2 linked regions of the Drosophila melanogaster genome follow. Changing the gene in region 2 together with the main gene of any one other region gives a genetic interaction. Each region holds a gene or a part of one and is shown on either strand. Other genes may lie near its edges. The genes, in order: Fadd and RYBP.

Region 1 (7,801 bases), on a different chromosome or scaffold from region 2:
AATTGATCGCTGCCCAATGCTGTTTCAATTGGCCAATGCAGTCTGCAGTGGGCGCCCGCAAGCCAGCAATTGATTAAGCGCCCGATCATCGATTAGTTGGCCCAACAAGAGCGTCGCCTCCGTTTTGGAGGGACTTGGACTGGGCGAGCGTGGGCCTGAAAGTGGCACATTTTCGCGAGCGACAGACGAAATAAAAAAACGCAATCGGCCAAATTTGGGGAGGCGACTCAGCTCGACTCGACGGCGACAACAATAAACATTTGAAACAACAAGCGGCAAATAAGGAGAAGTCACATCCGCATCGAGAGATCGAGTGGGATGCCAGTTGTTAATGATTATGATGATGATGACCTGGCCAAATGGTTACGTGCATTCGTGAATTGGAAACATTTAGTTTTATATCTTTTGCCTATATGTATACACACACTCAAGTAAAGCAGCTGATTTACAATATGCAATGGTATATCTCTGCTTAAATCTAAAAAACTAACGCATAAACTTCTTGGCCTGGTCGCGGTTGACCTGCTTGAAGTGCCGCTGCTTGGAAGCCGATCCCTCGTTCATTTTCTTGTAGAATCCGAAACCGCCGCCGCCCACTCGCTTTTCCGGTCGCTCCCGCTTGGCCGCGCCCACCTTCAGGTCAACTACGGGTGGCACAAGGAATCCAAAGCTTTTCGCAACCGCCTGCAGGTCCAACGTGTTCACATTGAAGATCTGCTTCAATTGATGCGAATCGTATGCGCGCACATACGACTTAAAGGCTTCCTTGGCCGACTGGTTTAGGAAATAGTTCTTGGCGATCAGTTTCTCCAGCTGCAGTGGATAAGAAACATACGAATTAAATCACCTTAAACCATAGCTAACAATTTTAACTCAAAGAAAGAGCACCCACCTGCAGTTGAATATCAGCTATCTTCTGCCAGGAGAACTCGAACTCATTGAGCGGCACCTTGGCGGCCTTAAGGTAGCGCAGGAAGCCCAGCTCCTCCGGTCGCATCAGAAGGAGGGCGTGACCCGAGGTGCCCGATCCTCTGGCCGTTCGGCCCACCCTGTGAATATACTCGCGTGGATCATCTGGAGGATCGTACTGCACAATCCAATCGACTTGCGGAATGTCCAATCCACGAGCAGCCACATCCGTACATAAGAGAATCCCAGATTCCGCGTTGCAGAACTGGAAGAAGGTGGTCGTTCGTTTCGTTTGCTTTTGTTTACCGTGGATGGAGGTCACTGGCAGATCAATGTAGTTGAAGAGCTCGTGGTGGTATTTGACGGACATGCAGGACGAGAAGAACACCATCACCTTCTTCTTACGATTCTTTTTGAGGAACGTGAAGAGCACGAGCAGTCGCTTCTCCGAGGGGCAAACAATGTACCCCTGCTCGAGTCCATCTACGGTCGCCGTGTCCTGGTTGTCGTGAACCCCTACATAAATTGGTTCCGACTTAAGGGCCAGCTTGGAAAGCGCTTCGATGCGAGCCGTCTGTGTGGCCGAGAAGAGCATCGTCTGGCGGCGTTCTAAAAGATTAGGTTAGTTTAAAAATACACTAAAAACCTTTAGTTACCCGTAACTCACTTGGCAGCAGATTTATTATTTGCTTAAGCTCCTCCTCAAAACCGATCTCCAGAATTCGATCCACTTCATCGATAATCAGGCACTGAAGGTTCTTGTACAGAAAGTCGGGCGAGTTTTGTAAATGATCCAGCAGACGACCCGGTGTGGCCACCAGAATGTTGATGCCCTTGCCCAACTTCTCGCTCTCCACCTGCCGATTGGAGCCGCCCATTACCAAGCCATAAGTGTGATGGTGGTGTGCCATCAGCTCTTTGAGCACACCGAAAGTTTGCATGGACAACTCTCGGGTAGGTGAGATGATGATCACGCCGGTACCATTGCGTGGCATAAACCTCAGCTTGTTTATCAGCTCGACGGCGGGTATCAGGAAGGCCAGGGTTTTGCCGGAACCCGTCTGGGCAGCACCCACCAGATCCCGTCCCTTTAGTAGGGGTGTCAGCGATTTCGACTGAATTTCAGTCATCTCGGTAAAACCCATCTCCTTAATGGCTCGCAATGTGGCCTCGGACACGGCGCCCTTTAAAGAGGCAAAGCTGCGATCATCCGAATCTCGGTAATCCAGTGCAGCCAGTGAGGATTCCACGGTAAAGGGCTCGTCGTCTTTAGCTGGTTTGCCATTCTGTGCCTTGGACTTGTTGGGAAGCAACTTCGTTTTCTTGGCTGGCACAGGTTCTTCTTCATCTTCATCTGAAACAGGTACTCTTGGTTAATTTTGGTTTTCACAGGGATACAGTTTTTTAGTATTTTATATAATTCAGTTGGTTTTTAAATGGATTTCATGCCTGCCCTGGGCAACATTAACTCGCTGCACCAGAGCTGCTCAAATTCGCCTTTAAAAATCATCATTATTATTGGTAGTTAGAACGAATTCCCTAAATATCGACACTTTTACTTACCTTCCTGCTGGTCATCATCTTCACTCCCGCTGTCAACATCCTCCTCATCAACTTCGGCTACTTCGTCCAAATCGCTATCCTCATCTGCCTCATCCTCCTGCTCATCGTCATCTGATTCCGAATCCGAGTTGGCCACCTGAATTTGTTGCTTTTTTGGAGGCTGTTTTTGTTGCTTCTTCTTGGGCAGCGGCGCCTCCTGGAAATCCTCCTCTAAGTCGTCATCTGCGGGTCGAAAAGTGAATCTTACATATATTTATTAGGCACACACGTTTTTAATCGTACCCTCATCCTTGGCCACATGCTTTTTACTGAGTTTCTCCGGTTTTTTACTGGGTTTATTGCCATTTTGTTTGGGTGGCTCCTGCTTTTGGGCGTTCTTGTTTCCCTTCTTCTGCGAGAGCTCCTTCTTCATCTTCTCCCGCTTAACGATCTTCTTCATCAGCAGCTTCTCCCGAATAGACATATTGCTAACTATGTATGCTTTTTAATAGAGTTTAATGGTTAAAAACAGAATTCTCAAATAAAATATTGCGCGCACGTGTTGCTAACCATTCACCCCGAAGCAAACGATATTCAGCCAGCTGTGCCTATCGATAATTGCCAATTCGATAGTTCAATGCAAAAGGTGTGACCCTATTTGTAAACAAATTTTCAACCGTCTTTTGAGGATAAGAGAAGCAAAAGCGTTTGCAAAACGTATTTTATATCCATTGTACATTGCTATCTTCAACTATGTGACTTGTGTATTACGAGTTAACAATATTTTTTGTAGACTATCTTATGATAAGGAAATGTGAATTCCCATTTTGAATGGAATACGTCAATCACATTTTCTTATAAGATCGTACAATTCCGCGTTGACACATATTAATTTAGTGTGCGATTTTTATGCTCTGTCCAACCTTGGAATAACATGTGAATAATTACAATAAAGGCACATCTTTGTCGCTCTCCAGCACATTAATTACTAGTATCGTAACAAAATGCATATAAAGTGCATATAAGTGAATGCGTTCTAGTGCGACATTATCTGCTCCACCCTCTTGCGCAGATCATTGCGACCACAATCGCCCAGGGCGCGACACAGACGAAGCAGAAAGTGCTTGGGATCGTGGCAATCATCCTCTTCGATGAGCTGCAGCAGTCGCAGAATCTGGGACTTCAAGTCGTGCGGGTAGCGCTCCTCGATTGTGTCCATTTGGCCCTCGCCAATGCCCGCCGATCGGCCCAGTCGTCGCCAATAGCGACCCAGTTCCTCGGATATTTTCTTAAAGACCATCGTTCGTTTGTGATCCGTAAAAGCAGCTGGGGTGGCATAGTTTTGGATTGCTGTTGGAGGCACAGCGGCAGCTAATTCCGAAACTGATGGCTGAGCATTCTGGGAAGCTGGAGCAATACGGAGCTGCTGACGAAGTTCCTCGGCCAATCGGAGTTCCTGGTACAGATTAACCGGATGTCCAAGAATGTTTTCCGGCTTTGTGTAGGCGCTCAGAGCCTCGATGAGCTGTGGCATATTGCCTGATATCCGGCGCAGTGGCTCCACATTGTACTCCGATAGTTCGTCCGCTCGTTCCAGGCAGTCAATTAAATCCTCGATGGTTCGTATGCAATCCGATCTGCGTCGCGAACCAATCTCTTCGACAAAAATTAGTTTCAACTGCTCCACGTTCTCGGTGCATCCATCAATGGCGATTTGTTTGAGGCTGTCGTAGCTCCAGTGCCTGCCTGCAGTCATTGTGACTAATTTACAGAGACGGTATTTTCAGCGGTCTTAAGTTCCCAAAATGTATCAACGCAACTTCACTCCCTGATGTAGTATGACCGTATGGCCAAACATTTCCTTACCTGTTATCGATCAGCACTGAATAGGTGTTTGAGCAAAATGAGCAAAAAAATATCAAATACTATTTCCATACAACTTAAAAAATTTAAAATAAGCTTTAAACTTGCACCACCTTGCATGTTTGGGATCTATTAGTGAGACCGTTACATAGCCATTCGATAACATCGATAACAGATGGCACGCACCATCCCTAGTTTTGATAGATATATATTTATGTTTTTGTTACTTTTACTGAAGCAACTAATGATAAACGCAAACGTGTAGACGAATGGAAATATCCATTAACGTTTTCGTATTCCTCCTCTACACTCTGGTCTTGATTTACCTTCAGCATTTCGTTAACAAGTACACAGAGTTCGTCCGCAGCCTCTAAATGTTGGGCCTTCAGTCATACGCCAGTTCCTCGGATGAAGAATCGGACCATGCGGACGCCGCCACAGCCACCACGAATTCAGAGCCCTCCGCTCCCATTCCGGATCACCTGCTGCCCGTGGACAAGACACACTCGCTATCCAAGTCCATTGCTGTTTGTGCGGCGCCAACGGTGGTTCCCCTTGGAGCATCGGCCGTGCCCCGAACTCTGGATCCCACGCTCAAGGAGGTAACCTACAATCCGCGCTATGAGGAGATGTATGCTCCGGTAAAAGGTCCGGAGCATCCGGACCTCACCATGCAGCAGCGCGCTCCGCGGAACACCCTAGCCGGCTACGTAGAGAAGGCCCACATCAATGCCTTCGAATTTGAGAACCAGCGACGCACCTTTCACACCTACGGCTACGCATTGGACCCCAGCGTAGACGATCAGGCGGACGGCCAGTCTTTTGTGGGTGACCTGCAGTCTGCGTACGATGACAATGGCAAGACGGTATTTGAGCCGCCCAAGGCAAAGAAACTGCGCAAGCAGGAGAAAAATGATAATCCCGAGGACATTGAGGGCTTTCTGGGTCCCTGGGGCAAGTTCGAAAACGAGGTGTCGGTGGCAAAGCCAAATGAACAGGAGCGCGCCGAACTGGACGAGCTGCTGTCTAAGCGACATAAGCGCGGACGCATTCCCGAGGATAAGCCGCTCGAGGAGAAGTCGACGCTGCACAGTGAGTTTAATCCAATAGCCACCGAATATATATCGTTAATAATCTTTTCCTTTTTTGCTCCACAGTCAAGGATGCGTACGACTATCAGGGCCGCTCTTATTTGCATGCTCCTCATGATCTGGGCGTGAATCTACGATCGAATGCACCACCGACCAAATGCTTTCTGCCCAAGGCGCACATACACACCTGGTCGGGCCACAACAAGGGCATCTCCTCCATCCGCTGGTTCCCCAAGACCGCTCATCTTCTGCTCTCCGGATCGATGGACTGTCGCGTCAAACTGTGGGAGGTTTACGGCGAGCGACGCTGCATACGCACCTTCTCCGGTCACCGGCAGGCCATCAAGGATATTGCGTGGAACAACAGGGGTACCAACTTCCTGTCTGCCTCGTATGATCGCTACATAAAGTTGTGGGATGCCGAAACGGGCGATGTAGTGTCCCGATTCACAACGCGTAAAATGCCTTTCTGTGTGAAATTCCATCCGGATAATAGCAAGCAACATTTGTTCGTTGCCGGCACCTCCGACAAGAAGATCATTTGTGTAAGTAAAATTTACAAAAGTAGATGCTCATGTTACAATTGTTTTCCTATCAATTCGCAGTGGGACACTCGCAGCGGTGATATTGTACAGGAATACGACCGGCACTTGGGATCTGTGAGCACCATCACCTTTGTGGACGACAACCGACGGTTTGTGACCACCTCGGACGACAAATCGATGCGCATATGGGAGTGGGACATTCCTGTGGACATGAAGTACATTGCCGACCCCACTATGCATTCCATGCCGGCGGTCACATTGGCGCCCAATGGCAAATGGATGGCCTGCCAGTCGTTAGACAACAAGATCGTCATCTTCTCCGCCCTCAATCGCTTCAAGATGAACCGCAAAAAGACCTTCACCGGTCACATGGTCTCTGGCTACGCCTGCCAGCTGGACTTTTCGCCGGACATGAGCTATCTGGTGTCGGGCGATGGCGATGGCAAATGTTATATTTGGGACTGGAAGACGACGAAGATGTACAAGAAGTGGCAGGCGCACGACGGCGTCTGCATCAGTGCCCTCTGGCATCCGCATGAGGCCAGCAAAGTGGTCACCGCTGGCTGGGATGGCCAGATAAAATACTGGGACTAATGGTCCGCACAAAATAACATAGATAGATGTAAGCCAAACTGATGTGTAAATTGATTGATTATATTGCTTACCCATTATGTTCCAATTGAGCTCATTTAATTCATGTGTATCAAGCCCAATTCCTAAGTTATTTATCCATCCGGTTGCTTGATATTCCCTCCCCCCTTTGCGAGATTGGCTTTTATTTACCTTCAGTTGTGATAAGAGTACGCATGCGCAGTGCATGTGAAATGGCAAACAACTCGACGGATGGTCGGCCCACCACCCAATGGCCCAGCCACCCCCACTGGCAAGTCAAAACATATGCGAGTAGTGCTGGCCAAAATCGATATTTTCCACGAAAGTCGCACAAACGTCGGACGGATTGTGGAAGACTTGTCAATAATCTGTAAAAAAAACGCGAAAAAAAAAGAGTTCTACGGCGTAGAGGAGATGCAGTAAAAGGCGACGGCTAGGTGGACACCGAGCATCAGCTAGACACCCGTAATTCCTGCCAGCGGCCATGGCCAAGCCCCACTCGGATGCGGATGCCTCTGGCCTGGGCTACGCCTACCAGCTGCCGTCCGGCGGCCTCCTGCTGCGCCTCAAATCTTCCCTCTCACAGTTCAGCGATTTGTTCAGCGACTTCAGCAGGTACATCTCGCCCGCCTATCATCACGATCGCTGCGAGCGATCCGTCCATATGCGACTCTACTCGATGCACAAGCGCGAGTTTGTCATGGTCTTCCTGGGATTCTTCACCTGCTTCGGTCTGGGCATAGTCATCGGGCTGACGGGACCGCCCATAACCAGCACATCATCGCTGACCGCCCAGCAGATTCTGGCGAACACCTCGCTGGCGCATAGCCCAACGGTCCTGGGGAAGGGACCCTTCGCCATGAAGTCGCCGCTGACCACCACATATTCGCAGCAAATGTGGCTGATAGCCAAGCTGGTGACGGACAACAATGATGGTGGGTCTTGTGATTGCGACTATTTTACTTTTCTTACATTTACATATATGTATGACAATCATTCAGACGAGCGGTACGACAAGAGTTTCCAAGTGAGCGTCTCAATCGATGGCATAAACGAGCAGCACAAGCCCCAAAGTGTCCTCGGATCCGGAGTGGCTCACAACCGGACGCGGCACTTGGTCTGCGTACGGAACGACTGCGAGGAGTTCACGGTGATGCATCTGGGATTCCTCGACTATGCCCACTATATTATCACTGTGCGCTTTTACGGCTTGGAGTCATTCCATCAGAAGTATAATAT
Region 2 (7,879 bases):
TGTGCGGACGGTCGCACAGATGAGGCGGAAGCACGGACAAACAAACGGATAAGAAGGCGTAGGGCCACGAAGGACGAAGGACGAGGAGTTGCTGTAGTTGTAGCTGGAGCCCAAGAACGAAGCGCACATGGAAGATAAGCGCACAGAGTGTGGCGCTGATAACGCAGGTCCTGCTGCCGCCTGTGGGCCGCAACTAGAGGGATGGAAATCGGGGGGTGACATGCCGGGAGGTCCTGTGAATTTTAACATTTTAGAGAAAATACGAACGACGAGAGCTTCGAGCGACGAGCTAGAAGTCTGAAGCGAATTGCGCGAACTACGGGTGTGGGATGTGGATGTGGATGAAATCGGGTGTGTATGTATGTAAGTACAGTCAAGCCTCGTTCAGTGCATTCTTGTGAGCTAATTCAAGGGAAATAAATTTATATTTACAACATTTTAATTTGTTGGTAAACAGTAAAGAACTGAGAAGAAATCAAAACATAAACACAAGTTTTACAATTAGCGAACATCGAACATGCTTAATAGGTATCCAAGCATACATTACACAAAGCGGGTTGATGTTAGTATAGTTTGACTGTGCCAGCATAGCTGGAACGAAACAATTTGTAATTTATTTGCGAAGCGTGCGATGTGCTCCGGCTCTGTGCGAAAAGTTGAGGCAGCTGCCAAAGGCGTAGCCATCGACCAGAGACAGTGGCTCCAGCTCCGGCTCCAGCTCCAGCTCGAGCACCATCTCCTGTTCCCGTTTTCCGTGCATCTGAAACCGAAACTCTGGCAGAAGCGCTGCTCTGATCTGAGGCCCAAAAACTGGAGGCCGGGAGCACGCGTAAGCAGATACTCTGATACAGATACAGATGGTGCTCGGGCTGCGCCCCCCCCCCCCCCCCTTTCGGAACACACTCACACACAGAAGGGAGGATGGGGGAAAGGCGATGCGTGGGTGGTCCTGGGTCCTGGGGAAACGGTGGATGTACTGGCATCCAGCCGGGGTGGTTCTCGCTGCTGCCTTGCTCTTTAAAGACCTTTAAAGTTTAAGCCGAATGTCAGCCATAAAAAGAATCAAAAATAAAACTTGGCAACAAAAGTTTAGCAAGTTGGATAAGCCCAAATAAAAAATATTAAATTGAACTCATCTTAGGGCGGGAGAGAAGACAACGACTCCTTGGAATAGCATTTTCGAAATTTATTTAATGTATTTTATAATGCTTTAAAAGTTTACGCTTTACAATTGGAATTCAAGTTTTAACTATCCGTGTTGTCGTGTGAGTGCGGCTTTAATTGCGTTTGCTTAAGTTTTGTCTTTGTCTTTGTCGTTGCTGTTGATTAATGCTCAACTGGCCAAGCATTTGGAATACAAACTGTTCATATTAATTGTACATGTTTACGATAATCCAAATTGAAGTTTGTCTATTGGAAGTTGTTTCTTGACTACAGTCGGCAGTTTCGAGTGGGTGTGTGTTAGTGTTCATGTGTGGCTAAATAATCTATCTCAAAATACAAATATCAAGCACTTTATAAACCATTATATCTGTTATCCAATATTAAATACAATCGTTCATATCAAAATTCATGTTTTTCATTGTTTGCTAAGTAATTATTGCTATGGTGGAAGAGCGTTTAAGCTCTGCTAAGTACAAAATTCTCTTTTTGCGAGTTCGAGTATTCGTCTATTGTTTGCTGGCTGTGAGGCTATCTCGGGTGTAAACCAAAAGGAAAATCGGATTCGGGCTGGGTGCGTGTGCGGACCTCTCTATATCTGGTTGGTAACGCTTAATCAGTCTTGTATACAAACAAATTAAAATTAGCAAATTGTCTACAACCAAGCTACGTGGCTCTCTTCTCGCTACACTTCGTTGTCAAGCAGCATTTTCTAGTCAAAAAAAAAAGGGCAGTTTATAATAGTTACACAAACCATGGGGGATGGGCGCTGCTAGTGGAACATTGAGATTAACTTGCACTTAGTTAAACCATATTTTAATTCGACACTTACAAAACAAATGATATCTTTGTTGAACATGTACACGGCGGTTATACATAGTTACCTTTGCATCAATAAATTAGGAATTAGAGTAGCAGAATTAAATTACAACTAAAATTACGATACGAGACAGAGATATTCAGGGAACTCATGCATCGCTATTTACAGGGTCTAGCGCATTTTAAAATGGGATTTGGAGAGCGTCGTGTAAATGCAATCGACTCGCCGTCGCTTCGCTTTGCTTTGCCATCTTGGCCTGGGCTGGAAGTCATGAACTAGTGGGGGCTTGGCTTTCGGGGCTTTAAACGTGGCCTAATACTTGGTAACTTAAATGGATTTCGATTTACAATTGTTATCGCCAGGGGCCTAACACTTAGAATTTACAACTTGTAACAGGGGAGCGGGAACCGTGGCGTAGAATATTGGGGAGCTGGGGGCGAGGAGGCCTTGTATCCCTCCTCTAACTCCGGCTGTCGTTGCTCTCGCTGAAGCTCTGCTCACTGGATTCGCGTCGGCTGCTCACCGGCTTGGCCTTGTACTCTGTGATGAACACGGTCACCGAGTTGACCGTCACCTCTCGCGTCTGTGCCGTCGATCGGTCCACGTTTTTCAACCGTGCCGGATACCGCTTGTGCCTCTGCCGGTCGTGCCCACTGCCATGCCGTGATCCGGAGGCGGACTTCCCGTTGGGCATGTTGACACTGGCTCCTGGCAAAGTGGCGGCCTGCTGGGCGACTAGCGCTGAGTTCAGGCGTGGCTTTCGCGTGGAGGTTCCTAAAAAACAAGGGTGTATAGTCTTATTGAGCGCACCAAAAATAGTATATAAATAGTTTAAAATTGTTTCAATTAGCATGTTTATCGTTTCGAGAAGTATTCCCGGTTTCTGCGCAGTGTGAATTTATTTATTCTACGTAAGCAAATCGATACCATCGTTGGCCATCTAATCAACAGTCAACAGTCTTTTTTTGACTATTACTATCTACAGTTCAACCAGATATATTCCAATATTGTTAATACCGATGTGTGTGTATCCTTGTAGAAGGATAAACAAACCGATCCATGACACATGATCAAGAAAGCGAAAATCGGAACATGGCTGGCAATCTGCTCAATCTTGGAACTCGGAAGCGAAAACGAAGCAAAATCGGGGTCACTTACCTTTCCGCACGTCGCACATGCGACACTTGAAGGCCTCCGCCGAGTTTCTATATGTGCAGACGCTGCAGTCCCAGAAGTTCTCCTCGATCACCTTCGCCTGCCGCTTTTGTCGTCGCACCGGCGAGGATTTCTTGTCCATAATACAGGAGGAGAGGAGGAACGCCTGGGCGCCGCTGGAGTAACCGCAATCCAATCGAATCGGACCAAAACGAATCCAATGAAAATGCCCGACTTTTCCCTCTGCCACCGCCTCTGCCTCTGCCCGCCCCTCTGCTGATCCGCTGCTGCTGCTGGCCGTGTTCCTGTGATGTTTGGTTGCTCTGCTCGCACCTTTGCCACGCTCACGCACACACGGTGGCCTCAGTGGAGATTCGCTGCGCTTTTGGCACGCATTTGTTGCTTAATTGGAGCGTTTTCGGTGGCTTTTTGTTGTGAAAAAAACTTTCTGCAATTGTCTTTTTGGCTGCGGCAACATTGCCATATCGTAGAAGTGCTCAATGCCAGGCTATCGATATTTCGATAGTAGCGCGCAGCCAGTGTTGGCTAGCGTATGGTGCTGATCTGGCAACTCACTTTTCGATTGGGCGCCAAACTACGTTTATTTTGAAATGTGGCTTGTCATTGTTTTGTGTTTGCATTTTATTGTGAAGCTTACGCCCACGCTTTTATTTTTCTAGCCAGCCAAAGGCCAGCTGCTTCAGCAACAATGGGAAGGTAAGCGGTTTTGCTTATGTTTACTATAGTGGTGCTTATGGGTAAAGAAGAATTTGGGAAACTTATTAAATTGTTTTTAAGCTACCTCACATATGCTTAAATGACCAATGATGATTCTTTTTGACGCCTTGCGCTCTAGCCAATGGCCTATGTACATACAACCTTAATTTAGCCGCTGGCAAGCATCAGCTGCGTTGTGTTTACTTATAACTTGTATCTGTTCTGTCTGTCTAGCCCCCAGATCACGTTTTATCTTGGCAGTCTTATCATCGGTTCATCCCCTTTGGATTGTAGGCTCCCAGGAAGGTGTTACACTTGCGACAATAGTGGTTTCCAGTGCGGCAACTGTTCATGCAATAGGGAACAAAACAGGCACAGCAGCAGAATCTTTAAAGAGGATGAGACATGAAATATATAAATTTAAGATAAATCAATAAGCAGATAAACTCTACTCCTTTTTATAAGAAACTCAACTTACCCGACCAAACAGAGGAGACCTGCCACCATATGGGTCCTGGAGTTAGCCGTGTGTGTCATCCTCGTAGTTTTGTTGGCTCCACAGGCTGGGCAGAGAACCCTACTTCGATTTGGACCCAAGTGTAGAGTATCTGCAACAGCAGGGAGTGACGTCAGTAGAGCTTCACAGCCGAACTATAACTATGTGCAAACTACACACCTGTTGGAACCACTGTGGGTGGTTGTGGGGCTGGCTGCTCCACGACAACCACTGGCGGTGGTCGTGCTGGGGCGATTGCTGGTGCGGAAACCGCTGGAGCCACCGGAACAGACACCGCCACATCGTACGACGGAGGAGCCTCGATGGGCAGGCCGTTGGCGATGGGATTGCCCAACTCCCTCGTTGGCGTCGGCGAGGGGGCCGTCGGGGCGTTGAAATCCACTTGCGGATAAAGCATGGCTCGCTTCTGATCCATGGTTAACGCACTATAAAACCCTTGCTCTAGTGCGAAGTTCGGGTATGGTTTCGACTTATTAAAATGACTAAGAGATTCTGGTTCTCGCTAAGCGAAAAAAAAAAGTTGTTTACTTTGCGTATTTACAACTAGACGGCGTCTTTTGCACTTCGAACGCCGCTCGCAACTGCCAGCGAATTTGGATCCAGGTAGAGATTCAGTTTCAGTTTTTTTTCGGCTCAGATCGGAGCGAGCTTGGAAAAGCTCCCATCCGGTTGAGCAATCAGTTTTGGGGCTGTTGCAAAACCGAAAGTATCTCTCGAATACTGTTTACCGAGCTTTATCTAGTGCACACAATGATCTTCATTGTTTATCGAACTTATCTCAGGTACGGGAATAGGATGTCCGATAAAGATACAGATAGCCACTTCAGCATAGTCAGTAATTAGTTAGGCTTTTGGCAAATAAAGCTGATATATAGGATTCCAAGGGCGTAATAGTCAGCAGAGTATAATTTAACATTAAGCAAAAAAGCTTTCAGCAATTAAATCGAAAAAATTACTGAATAACTTAACCAAGAATGGCCTAATAATTGAAGTTAAAAAACCAGTTTACTTTGGTTTTTAAGAGCAAATTTAAAATTAAATATTTAGGTCATCAATAATATTATACTTATTTGAAAACTGGGTTAATTTCGCTAACACAAAATAGTAATTCTATGCCACTTTAAAGCTCTTAAAGCGTCACTTGTAATGACGAAATACTTCGCTTTAGTTCAGTTTGCGTGCTGCAGTCCATTTATTAACTAATTACTTGAAGAAAATATGTACACATGAACAGGTCGCCCCCGAAACATTTTTGGTTGCTCATTTGCGATCGTAGGTGCCCAAATAACGATCGCACATGCCACAGTAGTGATTGGTGTTCATGCAACTGGAAATGCAGTACGGCAGACACACACAGCAGTACAACCTGTAGGGAAGTAAAAGAAAAGGAAGTGAGTCACCGACAAGTGGATTATACACCTAATAGCCAAGGTCTATTCTGTGCGATTATTGCTGGCTAAGACTATCATTTGATGTAATATATAGCCTTTGTTTCTGATGCTAAGCTACTAAAAATATATCATAGATATGAAATGAAATCAAAAATACATATATAAATACAAAAGAGTGCTCTCTGGTAAGGAATGAAATTTATCTATTCTATGCTATTCTCATTCCGAATAAATTGAGCTTTTTCTGTTTCGAGTGCCCAAAGTGGGCTACTGGCCCACACACAGTGTTATCTATTTCGGGTACTCACTGGAACAGGCATAATATCAAGGCTATCAGATGGGTGCGCGAGTTGGGCTTGAAGGAGACCCGTGTCCGGGCGTAATTGTGGCAGTACGGGCACTGCACGTCCATGGGCTCCGGGCCGTACGGTGAACCGGGCACCACGACGACCGTGTGCTGTGTGGTGGATGTGCTCGCTGGAACTGGAGCTGGTCCCGTGGTTTCAGCCGGAGTGGTTGTGGCCTGGTCGTAACTGGGTGGAGCCGGTGGCAGAAGGTGTTGTTGCTCGGGTGTCGCCTGCAGCTCGACGGATCCCTTGGGCGCCTCCAAGGGTGCAGCTGGATAGACGGAATCCATGATATTTTGGCCCAACTGGGTGTGTGAATCGCTGGAAAATGACTCAAGGGAGCGCCGTTGGAAAAAAAAATGTGTCTCGCGTATCGCGTATTCTTATCAAGTAAAGCCAAAAGCTTGGCGGCCCGATTGTTTACCCCATTGGGGAAATTTCATCGTACAGCTGTCGGTCTGTGGACACCTGACCAAAAATGTTCGCATTCGTGGATGATTTTGTGTGTGGGTGTGTTGAGGTTGTGAGCGTTGATCGGTTCGATTTGGTTGGGTTCGTTTGGTTTTGTTTACTCCGTATTACTAATCGCTGTTGTAGACGCCGACGAACTTATTGCAATTGCCGCAAAAGTGATTGGCGTTCATGCAGCTGGTGGCGCAGTAAGGCAGGCAGGCACAACACCAGAGGCTGTTTGTGATTTTCCACCAGAGATTAGATAAGATGGTAGCACGGGGCTGGTGAGAATCTGCAAATCTTACCCAACGATGCATAGAATGGCGGCCATGCAGTGAGTTTTCACACTGGGCGAGTACTCCACGCGGGTCAGTTTCTGGACATGGCAATGCGGGCAGGTGATGAAGGTGGGATCCGGACCCACCGGCAATACAGCTTGATCTGCAAGTCATTGTCAATGTTAATCTTATGTCTGTCACATTGAGAAAAAAACCCACGTTGTATGATCACCACGGGCGGAGGTGCTGTCGTGTGGTGAACCACCCGAACTGGCGCCTGCACGTGCACCACCTGCTCATAGCTCGGTGGGGGCATCTGGTGGGGATAGCCCGGCGCTCCCGCCGGCTGCTGATTGTACTGCATCTTCGTTTGGTTGGTAGTCACGAACTGAAACCGAGTCTTGCGTTTCACTACTCTTGCGACTGCTGTTGCGCAACATTGTTGCTGGCAAAAGCTCTTTGTCGTAGCTTTGTATCTTGTTTGCATTGCTTTTGAGCGCCAACCAAGTCAAGCAACTTAATTTGTTGAAAGCGAGAGTAAATTCGATTGTCAATTGAAATCATGTTCAAGGAAGGAGGAAAGCGCAGTATTAAGTACTGGACTTTTAAATCTTGTTTCCTTCAATCGCCCAAGATTTTATTATAATTAACTAATGATAATCCAGGTTAAAACTAGATGAGCTAATACAATTACATATCTAAATAAATATGCAATTGACAATTTTGTCGTGTGCTGTGCAATAATGTCAATACAGATAAGAATGATTAGCTGAGTCAAGAGCAGTTATTGTACTTTACTTATTTATTTTATTAATAATATTCTACATATGTGCATACATTTAATCAAATTATTGAAGTCTTTAGAATTTGCATTACTCATCCAAATTATCACTAACATTTTTATTTATCGGTTGTCCGCAGCAACAAAAGGATCTAAAATAAGACAAACTTGAAACTGTATTTCATCTGGACGAAGGCAATCTTAGCTCAAGAATAACATACAGCGTATTAAACCACAATCTTTGGCTCCACGACAACTT

The links.
Region 1: of RYBP (region 2) and Fadd, changing one suppresses a phenotype caused by changing the other (phenotypic suppression), as found in Drosophila melanogaster (one study listed by BioGRID).

Annotation. Positions count from the first base shown.
Region 1 is NT_033777.3:22,030,969-22,038,769, reverse strand, and holds Fadd (Fas-associated death domain), read right to left. Parts: upstream 4,316-7,801; 5' UTR 4,208-4,315; coding exon 3,488-4,207; 3' UTR 3,153-3,487; downstream 1-3,152. Other genes in the region: pit (pitchoune), read right to left, coding at 487-813, 893-1,518, 1,577-2,263, 2,473-2,694, 2,755-2,935; CG45099 (uncharacterized protein), read left to right, coding at 4,584-4,688; CG6015 (uncharacterized protein), read left to right, coding at 4,689-5,406, 5,472-5,950, 6,011-6,544; CG13409 (uncharacterized protein), read left to right, coding at 7,047-7,497, 7,564-7,801.
Region 2 is NT_033778.4:22,666,506-22,674,384, reverse strand, and holds RYBP (ring and YY1 binding protein), read right to left. Parts: upstream 3,799-7,879; 5' UTR 3,279-3,798; coding exon 3,140-3,278; intron 2,756-3,139; coding exon 2,442-2,755; 3' UTR 1,173-2,441; downstream 1-1,172. Other genes in the region: CG13516 (uncharacterized protein), read right to left, coding at 4,120-4,240, 4,332-4,461, 4,530-4,785; CG30269 (uncharacterized protein), read right to left, coding at 5,631-5,736, 6,070-6,398; CG30273 (uncharacterized protein), read right to left, coding at 6,690-6,795, 6,867-7,002, 7,059-7,203.